Xenopus tropicalis: one gene and its partners. The protein of the gene in region 3 purifies or fractionates together with the protein of the main gene of each other region. This does not show direct contact. Links are inferred from orthologs where the notes say so. Each region holds a gene or a part of one and is shown on either strand. Other genes may lie near its edges.

Region 1 (3,655 bases), on a different chromosome or scaffold from region 3:
GGAGGTTGTCGTTCAGGATTTCACGATACATGGCTCCGTCCATTTTCCCGTTAATGCGAATAAGTTGTCCTGTGCCCTTAGCAGAAAAACACCCCCAAAGCAAAATGTTTCCACCCCCATGCTTGACTGTGGGGACGGTGTTTTGGGGGTCATAGGCAGCATTTTTCTTCCTCCAAACACAGTCACTCACAAAATCATTCAGGTGTTCATTGGCAAACTTCAGACGGGCCTGCACATGTGCCTTCTTGAGCAGGGGGACCTTGCGAGCCCTGCAGGATTTTAATCCATTGCGGTGTAATGTGTTTCCAATGGTTTTCTTGGTGACTGTGGTCCCTGCTAATTTGAGGTCATTAACTAACTCCTCCCGTGTAGTTCTTGGATGCTTTTTCACCAATCTCAGAATCATTGACACCCCACGAGGTGAGATCTTGCGTGGAGCCCCAGAGCGAGGTCGATTGATGGTCATTTTGTGCTCCTTCCATTTTCGAACAATCGCACCAACAGTTGTCACCTTCTCTCCCAGCTTCTTGCTAATGGTTTTGTAGCCCATTCCAGCCTTGTGCAGGTCTACAATTTTGTCTCTGACATCCTTGGACAGCTCTTTGGTCTTTCCCATGTTGGAGAGTTTGGAGTCTGCTTGATTGATTGATTCTGTGGACAGGTGTCTTTTATACAGGTGACTCGTTAAGACAGGTGTCCTTAATGAGGTCGACTAATTGAGTAGAAGTGTCTAACCACTCTGTGGGAGCCAGAACTTTTAATGGTTGGTAGGGGTTCAAAAACTTATTTCACTCAATGAAATGCAAATCAGTTGCTATCTTTTATTTAAAGTTATTTTTTCGATTTTCCTTTTGATGTGCTATCTGCCACTGTTAAAATAAACCTACCATTGAAATGATACTGTTCTGAGACTTTTCATTTCTTTGTCATTGGACAAACTTACAAAATCAGTGAGGGGTCAAATAATTATTTCCTCCACTGTACATGGGTTATTAAATGTTTGGTGTTGCTAATGGTTTAAGATTTTACATTATTTTCAGTTAAAGATGTATACCTTTTGAATTCTGGCAACAGTATCCCTTTAAGTATAGTCAGCAGTTAGCATGGAGTTGAAGTAAAAATCCAATGAAATGCCCCATACCGAGACACAAGCAGCACTATATACATTTATTGGAGATAAAATAAGGGCAGGACCACGTGTATAAAATGCTGTTACATTCTTGTTATATTCTTTTATATATTATATTCTTTTATAAAGTGTATATATGAACTTATTTAGTGCTTATTATTTTTGCTTTCCCAGGAATAAAGTCGAAGGTGGATGAGCTAAAGGCAGCTTATGACAGAGGGGAGTCTCCAAACCTGGAGGATTATGAGCCATACACAGTGGCAAGTTTATTAAAGCAATACCTGCGGGAGCTACCAGAAAATGTGCTGACCAAAGATCTAATGCCACGGTTTGAGGAGGCGTGTGGCAAAAGTACAGAAGGGGAGAGGCTGCAGGAGTGTCAGCGCTTATTGAAGGAACTGCCAGAATGCAACTTCTGCCTGACTTCATGGCTAATAGTGCACATGGACCATGTCATAGAGAAGGAACTTGAAACAAAAATGAACATACAGAACATTTCTATTGTGCTGAGCCCTACTGTTCAGGTACAAAAGAAACGACTGCCAGAGTTTGGCACAGTGTATGGGATTAATCATGTTTTCTGTGAGTGAGTGATCTACTTGTGTGAATGTGCAGTATGTGGGCTTCCAATTAATTTACTTTCCTTCTTATTTTGCAAAATGAGCTGTGTACTACCAACAGTACTACTAACAATATGCTATTGGAGAATAGGGAAATGCAATTTATAGTTTCAAGAAAGAGTTCACCTTTATTAAAATGTAGACAGTGACAGATATTTTGAGGCAGTTCGTAATTACTCTTTATTTTTTTAGTTATTGAATTTTGAGTTATTTAGCTTTTTGTTGAGCAACTCTCCAACTGCTGAACCCTAGCAACTAAATAGCAGCTATCTAATAGCGGGGTCCAATTTACTCTAGTAACTAAGCAGTGGCGCGAATGGGAGACTGAAAGTAATTAAAGGTATCAATAACAATAAAACTGCAGCCTCACAGAGCAAAGCTAGTAATTCAGAAAATAGAAAAAAAAAACTGAAACCCCCCAAAAAATTTAATAAAAAACAAAAATGTAAAAGGTGCTAAGAATACTCCATTCTATAACACACTAAATTTTAATTTAAATGTGAACTACACAAAGAAATGGATGGTTAATTATTTTAAAAGGGGATGTTCACGTTAAAAATAGCTTTTATTTTGATGTAGAATTAAGCATTTTAGTACAAATTGCCATTGCACCTTGTTTGATACTGAAGTGATGGATACTGGGACTTGAAGTAGCCCAGAAGTCCCAGAATCCTTCATTCAGTATGGAGTAAGGTTGGAGCTGAATCTCTTCAATGCCTGGGCTTGGGAAATGGTCCCTGTAAAAAAGAGGCAGACTATGGTTGAACAGAACAAGCTTATGTCTAAGAGAGGGGGGGGGGGGGGGGACTGGACAGAGCTTCTGGTGGAGTTTGTACTTAGCATTTAGCTGCTCAGTTCCATCAATTGCCATTCTTTGATTTTAGCTGATGACCATTTGTAAAGATTCTTTTCCATTTCCCCCTAATTGTGCATATATGAACTACTATTTATTTTACTGAAAAAAACAAATTATCCTCTTTTCATTAATTCTGCTGAGCCAGTTGGCTTGTATATAGGACTGTTGAACATTAGACATTGGGTGAGATGGAGGCCTATTAACTAAACAAAAATAGGACTACAACTTGAATTCAAGCCCCTATCAGTCAGCCCATATTTAGATGATGCTGGAGATTTTCTAAAGGCTAAATCTGTTCTTCCTTCCTTCCTTGATCCCTCTGGAAAACAGACAATAGCTGATGGGTTTCATGAGCTTTTGTCTGAAAAAAAAAAGTGGCAAATGCTGATATATTTACATTTAGAGATTTAGTATCTGTTGAGGAAATCTAAGCATTCTGTGTTGTAAAATGATTTTACTGTCAACAGTAATCAGTTTTGTAGATTGCCAAGGATGGTTTTTTTTTTTTTCCCCGTAAACTTACATTTAAGTTGTTATATAAAGTACTGTTTCCGGATAATCGCAACGCATTATATAAATACATTTGCCTTAATAGTGTTATACTTAAGTTGTATTTTAATAGCAAAGTAACTTTGGCTTCCATTTAAATACTTAGGGAAATATTTATCAAGGTGTGAGATTAGAGCTCACCACAGAAATATTCACCCACTTCCTATTAATTTCTGTGGGATGTTCAGAGGGGTTCTTTATCAAATGGTGAGCTCTAACTTTTCACCCCTTTATAAACACACTTTTGAAAATCCCTTAGAAATCAATAGAGAGTGGGTTAAATTTTATGTTGTGGGCTTTAACCTCACGTTTTGATAACTCTTTCCCATAATGTGTAATATATATGTAATCACATAAAATAATACAAATAGAGGATAAATGTAATTTTGCTATTGAAAAAAGTGTCTGTTTGAGGGGTGAGAGAATATAAACACCCAGACAATGTTGCAAGCCTGCTGAATAAGAGGCCTAGAGTAGAACAGACTCCAGTTACATTGTTTT
Region 2 (3,755 bases), on a different chromosome or scaffold from region 3:
AAATATGTGCTTTCCGATGGTCTTAGGCGACCCCTGTGAAAGGGTCGTTCGACACCCAAAGGGGTCACGACCCACAGGTTGAGGACCGCTGTCCTGCAGAATGCGACATGAATGCATACGTACGTGACTCAGTGTACGTACGCATTTGCGCAGCACTTGTAACCAGAAATCCACAGGGGATCTACTGGTGGACCACGATTGACACATTGGCCACCCCCGGTTTAGGGGTTTACTTGTCATTTAGTTGTAATCTTTATAACAGCCTTGGTGTATAATTACATTCTAAGATTTAAACCCCCATTGTAATGAGAGCAACTAAGTTTTTCCAGTACAGGTATAGGACCCATTATCCAGAATGCCCGGGACCAAGGGTATTCCAGAAATGGGGTCTTTCTGTATTTTGGATCTCCATACCTTAAGTCTACTAAAAAAATCAGTAAAACATTAATAAACCCAATAGAATTGTTTTGCATCCAATAATGATTGATTAAATCTTAGTTGGGATCAAATACAAGGTACTGTTTTATTATTAAGATAATAAATAGCGGAGCACCAGGGGGATAAGATTAAAATCCAGTCTTTATTCCATCATAGATAAAAGGCACATGCACATCCCTCAGGGTCTAACGCTTAAAGCGTTAGACCCTGAGGGATGTGCATGTGCCTTTTATCTATGATGGAATAAAGACTGGATTTTAATCTTATCCTCGTGGTGCTCCGCTATTTATTATCTTTCTATTTTTGCTTGGCTTTTGGACCTTTGGGAGTGGGTCTGCGTGACAGCACACTTGGGCTTGCGGTAAGTGCTCCCGTGTAATGTAATTTTTAGTACTGTTTTATTATTACAAAGAAAAAGGAAATCAATTTTAAAAATCTGAGAAATGGATCTGGGATCCATTTCTGCATAATGGATCCCATACCTGTAATCCATAGCAAGCAATAAGATGTAAAAAGGTGACCAGTAAATGCTACCTGCTAATTTGTTGCTATTGTTGTTATTGCAACAGGACAAAGTTAGTGGGGGCATTTCTAAAAACCGGGAAAATTGCATATGGGGAGTAACCCCATGCGTGTCAACCAATCACATGCTTGCTTTCATTGTTCTACCTGCAGCTAGCTGAAAAAAATATAGACAGTAGACACATTTGCCCATGAGCAACCATTGTTCTACCTGCAGCTGGCTAAATAAAGCCAATCACTGAATGGTTGCTATGGGTTACTGCCCATGGTCAAATTTGCCCAGTGTTGATAAAGGAGTCTCACTGACTGGTTGCTTGGGGCAAATTTGCCAAGTGTTTATAAATGAGCACTATTTGATAATATAATCCCAATAGTTACCTATTAGATAGATACCTTTTTGCGGGACAGTTGTCATTTTTTGGTCCAGTGCAGTCCCTCACAAATCAAATTTCAAGTCTTGAAAAACAAGACTGCGAAATCATTATTCACATTGTATAAAGGGCTTAAACGACTGCACCCAGCTGGAATGATGATGTAGGGCTGCAATGTCCCTGCATAAAACACTAGTACACCTATTGCTTCTTTACTTGCAATACTGCCATTCCAACCATGTAAAAAGCGATGTTTTGTTAAATAGGCGTAGTATTTTGAGGGCGTAGCCACAAAGTGCCTGTGGACAAAAGTTTCCCTGCTGCAGGTCCTTATGTTCCTTTTTTGATTATTCACATGTTGGGAGGTATGCAGTTCAGCAGCTTTAAGCCTGCATGTAAAGTTTAACATTCTTTTTCTTCACCCCAACCACCCTATATTCCTCTCAAAAATTGTTGCCAAAATGTGCACAGTCATATCTTTATAGACACAAAGCAGAACCACAAGTACTGCGACATTCACATGCATTTTATCCAGGAAGCCCAGTGAATTATTTGAAATGTCAGAGACCTTTAAAGAGAAATTATGTCCCATTTACAAAAGGTTTTGATTTCCATGTAGTTTTACAAATATTCCCATACACGCCCATGTTATGTTGCTGAATTGTGCAATAAGAGGTTTAACTGGTAAACTGGTGGGCTGCATGTCATGAAACGGGTATAAAACTTACATATATGTAGCAAGCGACAAATTGTGAATCCCCATGTATCACTCAACAAGTTCGCCCACTGGATCAGTCTGATGATTCCCCACTGCCTGACAGTCATCTGCTACTTCTCCCACTGACTGCAAAGACTGAAACTAAATATTGCGCAGCTCACGTCCATCTTCATGGGTATCCGCAACATTTATACCATGAAAAAGCAACTTTCTCTGTTTCCAAAGCAACACAACAGACACACCAACCGAGTATACCGAAAACCATAGCATACGACCCAGCGACTTGCTAAAGTGTCGTACCAACTTCCTCATTATACACTACTTTCTGAAGCTTGTGTTGAGAGTGTAAAAGCTGCAGTTCAGCAATAATTGTGAAATCCATACAAGTTAGTGTCGCCCACATACTCTGTCATACTGAACTCGAATGGCTATGATAGTTTCAAACTCCTTCTCCGAGTGTGTCACCGCAACAAGAACTGGTCGGGTACAGCAAACACTGCTCCCGGTACACTCCCAGTGGGCCCCGGTACACTGTTGCCCACAGAACAACGCAACTTTGCCCTGAGTAAAGTGTTACCTGTGTCCGGGGCAGTGAGGCCGCCATGCTGCTTCCGACCCGATCCGCCCATCATGCACAGAAAGAGGGGAGGGAGAGTGTGTGAGATAGTGGGTGGGGCCACTATGAGGAGGGGACTGTGTGAGAGCTAGTGGGTGGGGCCACTATGAGGAGGGGACTGTGTGAGGGCTAGTGGGTGGGGCCACTATGAGGAGGGGACTGTGTGAGAGCTAGTGGGTGGGGCCACCATGAGGAGGGGACTGTGTAAGAGCTAATGGGTGGAGCCACTATGAGGAGGGGACTGTGTGAGAGCTAGTGGAAGGAGCTGCTGCAAGTAAATATGGGAGAGCCTGAGTGCTAATGGGATGAACCAGTGGGAGGTGGAGCGCTGGAAGTGTAAGGAGAATGGGGTCACGGGACGGCTGGGAAGTTGGGAACTGTAAGGAAATGTCAAAATGTGTTTTTTTCCAGCCGGGCTGTTAGGGGGCGCTTATAGAATATAATATACTTTATTTAGAAAAAGTATTGGTGTGTTTCTATACTTTTCCTTGCAAGGTGTGGTGGCAGTTATATTGCGAGGTACCTGTTTGGGACGTAGAAAAACCTGGGATACTTACCCTCACTGTAAAGCCTCAGAGACCTGGGCAATGGCAGATCTGACATTGCACACCACAATATGTGGCCGAAATAACCAAAAACCATGTTTAGGACAATAGAAATGTTGACACATTCACAAGGTAAATAGGAACATTGTTACTTAGGTTGAAAAAAGACGTACGTCTATCAGATTCAACCATAATGCCTATGTATAACTTGCAGGGCTGGAACTAGGGGTAGGCAGAAGAGGCAGCTGCCTAGGGCGCAACGATTGGGGGGTGCCAGGCAGCAGCCTCGCCTGCCTACCCCTAGGTTGCATCGTGCCATTTCAAATCGCACACCGCGCCCCCCGCGCACAAACTGCGCATGCGTGTCAAAACACACGGGGAGGGTTTGCAAAGTAGCGGTGCAGGGGCGACGTAGCCAACCGGGTTGCCTAGGGCGCCCGGTCGGCTCGGCCCGCCCCTGATAACTTGCCTAACTGCTAGGTGATCCAGGGGAAGGCAAAAAACCCCATCTGAAGCCTCTCTAATTTGCTGCAGAGGGGGAAAAA
Region 3 (3,655 bases):
TAAATGGGGAAGCTGATATAACACAAAATCCCTGAAAACGAGAGGCATAAAACGCTTAAGTGCATAAGTACAAGAATGGCCCGGGGCATGATAAGCAATTGACCTCAAAAACTACAAAACCCAATCTACCAAATACAGCATAAGATGAGAATAAAGCATCACAGAGTAAAAATGTCCATTCCCTACTACAAGAGTTCCCTCACAGACCAGAGGGACTTCCACAATATGGTGCAAGAAACTGTAAAGACACAGACACCCACTCGCTGCAATAACCATAACCCTGGCACTAGCCAACTCACTAGTATCCACCAGCAGGTCACATAATCCACACAAGAAACTGGCAACAATTAGATACACCTTCCACTAGTGCTGGGGCTATGTACCCATCCCTCAGCACTAGCCTGTGGCCCTGGAAAATAAGGCTTGGCACTCACAAGCATCTAGCCCCACAGACAAACCTCCAAACCTACACAAGAACCAGAAGATCATGCCACCACAGAGCTGATGCCACACACAAGTGAAGGTGCCCTACAGTGCAAAGACACACAGCAATCAGGCCAGACACCACCCATGCCAACCACGGGTGGACAGGCCAGACACCACCCATGCCAACCACGGGTGGACAGGCCAGACACCACCCATGCCAACCACGGGTGGACAGGCCAGACACCACCCATGCCAACCACGGGTGGACAGGCCAGACACCACGCATGCCAACCACGGGTGGACAGGCCAGACACCACGCATGCCAACCACGGGTGGACAGGCCAGACACCATACATACAAAACCACAAGAGCGAAAAACAGCTAGCATACAAGCCATTGCACATAAGCTAGCACTGTGCTTGCAATCTCCGACGCACTAGTCTGTTACTGTACCTGTAAAACACATGACCCCCAACCTGCCCTTGCCAAATAGTAGTGACGTATAGGAGCCAAAAACAAGCACACAAGACGGAAGCAAAGTGCCCCAAAGAAACACATGCGCCCTCTACATAGTATTGGCTTGTCAGCAAAATTAAAACTACAGTCAGAACCCTGGAGAAAGGCTGTTTATTAGGTGCAGTTCCATTGTGAGAAAGGAAGGAGGTACCATACTGCTACACCAATGCAACCCCCAGCAAGTCCTGGATGCACCCGGTGTAATATGGAGCACAAATACCCACTTTGTCTGCACAAAGGACTTACAAATAAACACTTTAGCAATAGCAAAGAGCCCCATAAGAGTGAATGCACCATACAAGACAGCAGGGAGTATTCAGCAGGATGGTAACTCCAGCAAGAACCCTGACAGCTTCCAGCTGAGGGACATAACTAGCCAATTAGTATGCAGCCGATGTCAGTCCTCTATAGGCTTGCAGAACCATAGGAGAAGGCTACATTATCTCTCAGGAAGGAACATGGGAAGAATAACCACAACTGTATTTATTCCCAATAAGCAACAGGTTCAATTCTGTGCATAGTAGGACATACCACAGGGAGGGGGGGGTTATTTTTTTAGCACAGGGCTAGGACCATGGGTATATGATTGGCTATGTTATATGTCCTACCTCCTTGTCTGGGAGGGGTAATACTGTCCATCTGTACTGACACAGAAGGGACGCAGAAGGAAAGGAAGCAATCAGCTGTCCCTGAGGCACTCTCCAGCTCTCACCCAATACAATACAGTTTACCCAGAAGGAGCTGGCAGTCCATACCAGAGGGGTGCACATAACAGAATTTGTCATTTAGCAATTAAGGAATAAAGTAGGGCGATGGTTTGGCTATAGTGCAGATTTCTGCAGTCACCCCAATATCATGTCATCTGGTTGCATGGGCACAGAACTTAAATGGGGATCATTCACCTTACAATTAACTTGTCTGAGGTTCCCAGAGTGGAGACACTTTGAATGTCAGGTTGGACTGGTATGCCAGAATCAAATAGTCCTTACCCTGCTACCAGAATCCTTGGTATCTCAGAGGCAAACGCTTCGGCCATTTCTCTGCTCCCCACATTTGCAATGCAGTGCAGGGCCAGGCACATAAAAGTAGGGTTCCGGCTGGCCAGGTCGTTTTTAATGGCATTGTTAATGAGGCGAATGAGTTCGCTGTTGGAGTTCACAAGAACGGAGATGAAAAGGTAGCCCTAGGGAAGTAAAAAAATTTTTATTGCTAGCATTGGTAAAAGAATGAGAACAGTGGCTGCCCCACAAGAGGCTTCAGTATCTGTCAATTTCTGCTTCTATACATCACAATAATAAATTCTGCCTTGTAATGTTTTATCTGGGATTAACATTTATTTCTCATATATATAACTATGTACACTAGACCATATAGCTATTGTTTTGTTGGGCTCAGAAATCTAAAATACCTTTGAGTCATCCCAACGTGCCATACCATTGTGGGCAGCCTAGCGCTGCTGTTGTTTCCCCCAACGGGAGAGAACGCTCTATTAGCCCGCACCTCTGCTGGGGGAAGCAATTTTAGGTTGATTGGTGCCCTTTAAGAGCCTGCGGTATTGAGGCTTGCTTACAGCCACAAAAAGCTGGCATAGAAGTTTTCCTAAATTCCAAGTTAAATACAGAAGTAAGACACACCCATAGCATAAAGGTAAATATCCTGCAGTTCTCATTCTACTTTGGCAGAAATTATCTCATATAAAATTCATAATTAAAATCTCAGTCACTGTTATTACTAAAACCCATGTCTTGCTAAAAGAAGGAAAATACCCTGTATGACATTACTGTAGTAGAAGCCCCCCTGTACAAGAAAGCAAGCCTGTACATCCCCCCACCCTGTGTAATTTTGCTATTTGTGTAATTATAGGGTGGCAGAGGCAGGGTGACAGATCCAGGCGGGAGGTAGTACCTCTCATGCTGTTTTTCAGTTACTTACAATCTGTTTCTCTGTGTATTTATTGGAGCTCAGCAAGTTCACAGCTTCCATATGCCCAAAGTCGATATCATGTCCCAGCAGGAAGATAAAGAGCAGCTTACAGACGTATTTCTTCTTACTGTAGCCATCGAGCGCTTTGTCACCTATTTATAGAAAAGGCATAAGACGCTGGGAAATCAAACATCTGTGACACAAAATATATTGATATCTGAGCTCTTACACGTTCTGCCCACAGACTAATAAATGCTGGCACAATGGAGAGGCTTTTAGTTAAGCTGCCCACAAACAAAAGCTATCAGCGGCAGGGACCGGTTCCAGGAACATTGTCAGATAGACTTGTGGGATTATGGGGAGAAGAGATTTCTCTTTACATCTTCTGGGCCTAAATTGTCTCTGTAAAGCTGGCCACACACTGTAAGATCTGCTCGTTTGGTGAGGTTGCCATACAAGCAGATGTTCTCTTTAATATGCTCACCTAAAGTGGACCTAGGAACAAAATTATCAGATTACAACAACGGGAATATGAGCCTCGAAGCGAGGACCACTTCAACTAGATGTTACGGTTGACATCTGGCCAATTATCACCCAGATATAGGTCAGGTAGGCCCATGGGAGGGCCCCATACATGGGCAGATAAGGTTGGTCTGAACAGCCTGAATCGCCAGATTAAATCTGCCCATGTATGGCCACCTTAAGATACTATGATATAGAAAAGGAACCTGATATTAAAGGAATGCATGCCTTTCATTAACTGCAAGAAACTTGTACTTATTACTTAATT

What was found.
Region 1: the proteins of ap2a1 (region 3) and ralbp1 purify together in Homo sapiens (affinity purification with mass spectrometry; 5 studies listed by BioGRID and IntAct, with this or other methods). This does not show direct contact. The link is inferred for Xenopus tropicalis from reciprocal best matches to the Homo sapiens genes AP2A1 and RALBP1.
Region 2: the proteins of ap2a1 (region 3) and eps15 purify together in Homo sapiens (affinity purification with western blotting; 5 studies listed by BioGRID and IntAct, with this or other methods). This does not show direct contact. The link is inferred for Xenopus tropicalis from reciprocal best matches to the Homo sapiens genes AP2A1 and EPS15.

The regions. Positions count from the first base shown.
Region 1 is NC_030682.2:104,593,175-104,596,829, forward strand, and holds part of ralbp1 (ralA-binding protein 1), read left to right. Parts: intron 1-1,303; coding exon 1,304-1,653; intron 1,654-3,655. UniProt on the Homo sapiens protein: Multifunctional protein that functions as a downstream effector of RALA and RALB. As a GTPase-activating protein/GAP can inactivate CDC42 and RAC1 by stimulating their GTPase activity.
Region 2 is NC_030680.2:96,319,893-96,323,647, forward strand, and holds the start of eps15 (epidermal growth factor receptor substrate 15), read right to left. Parts: upstream 2,760-3,755; 5' UTR 2,654-2,759; coding exon 2,627-2,653; intron 1-2,626. UniProt on the Homo sapiens protein: Involved in cell growth regulation. May be involved in the regulation of mitogenic signals and control of cell proliferation. Involved in the internalization of ligand-inducible receptors of the receptor tyrosine kinase (RTK) type, in particular EGFR.
Region 3 is NC_030683.2:117,150,127-117,153,781, reverse strand, and holds part of ap2a1 (AP-2 complex subunit alpha-1), read right to left. Parts: intron 3,018-3,655; coding exon 2,875-3,017; intron 2,126-2,874; coding exon 1,932-2,125; intron 1-1,931.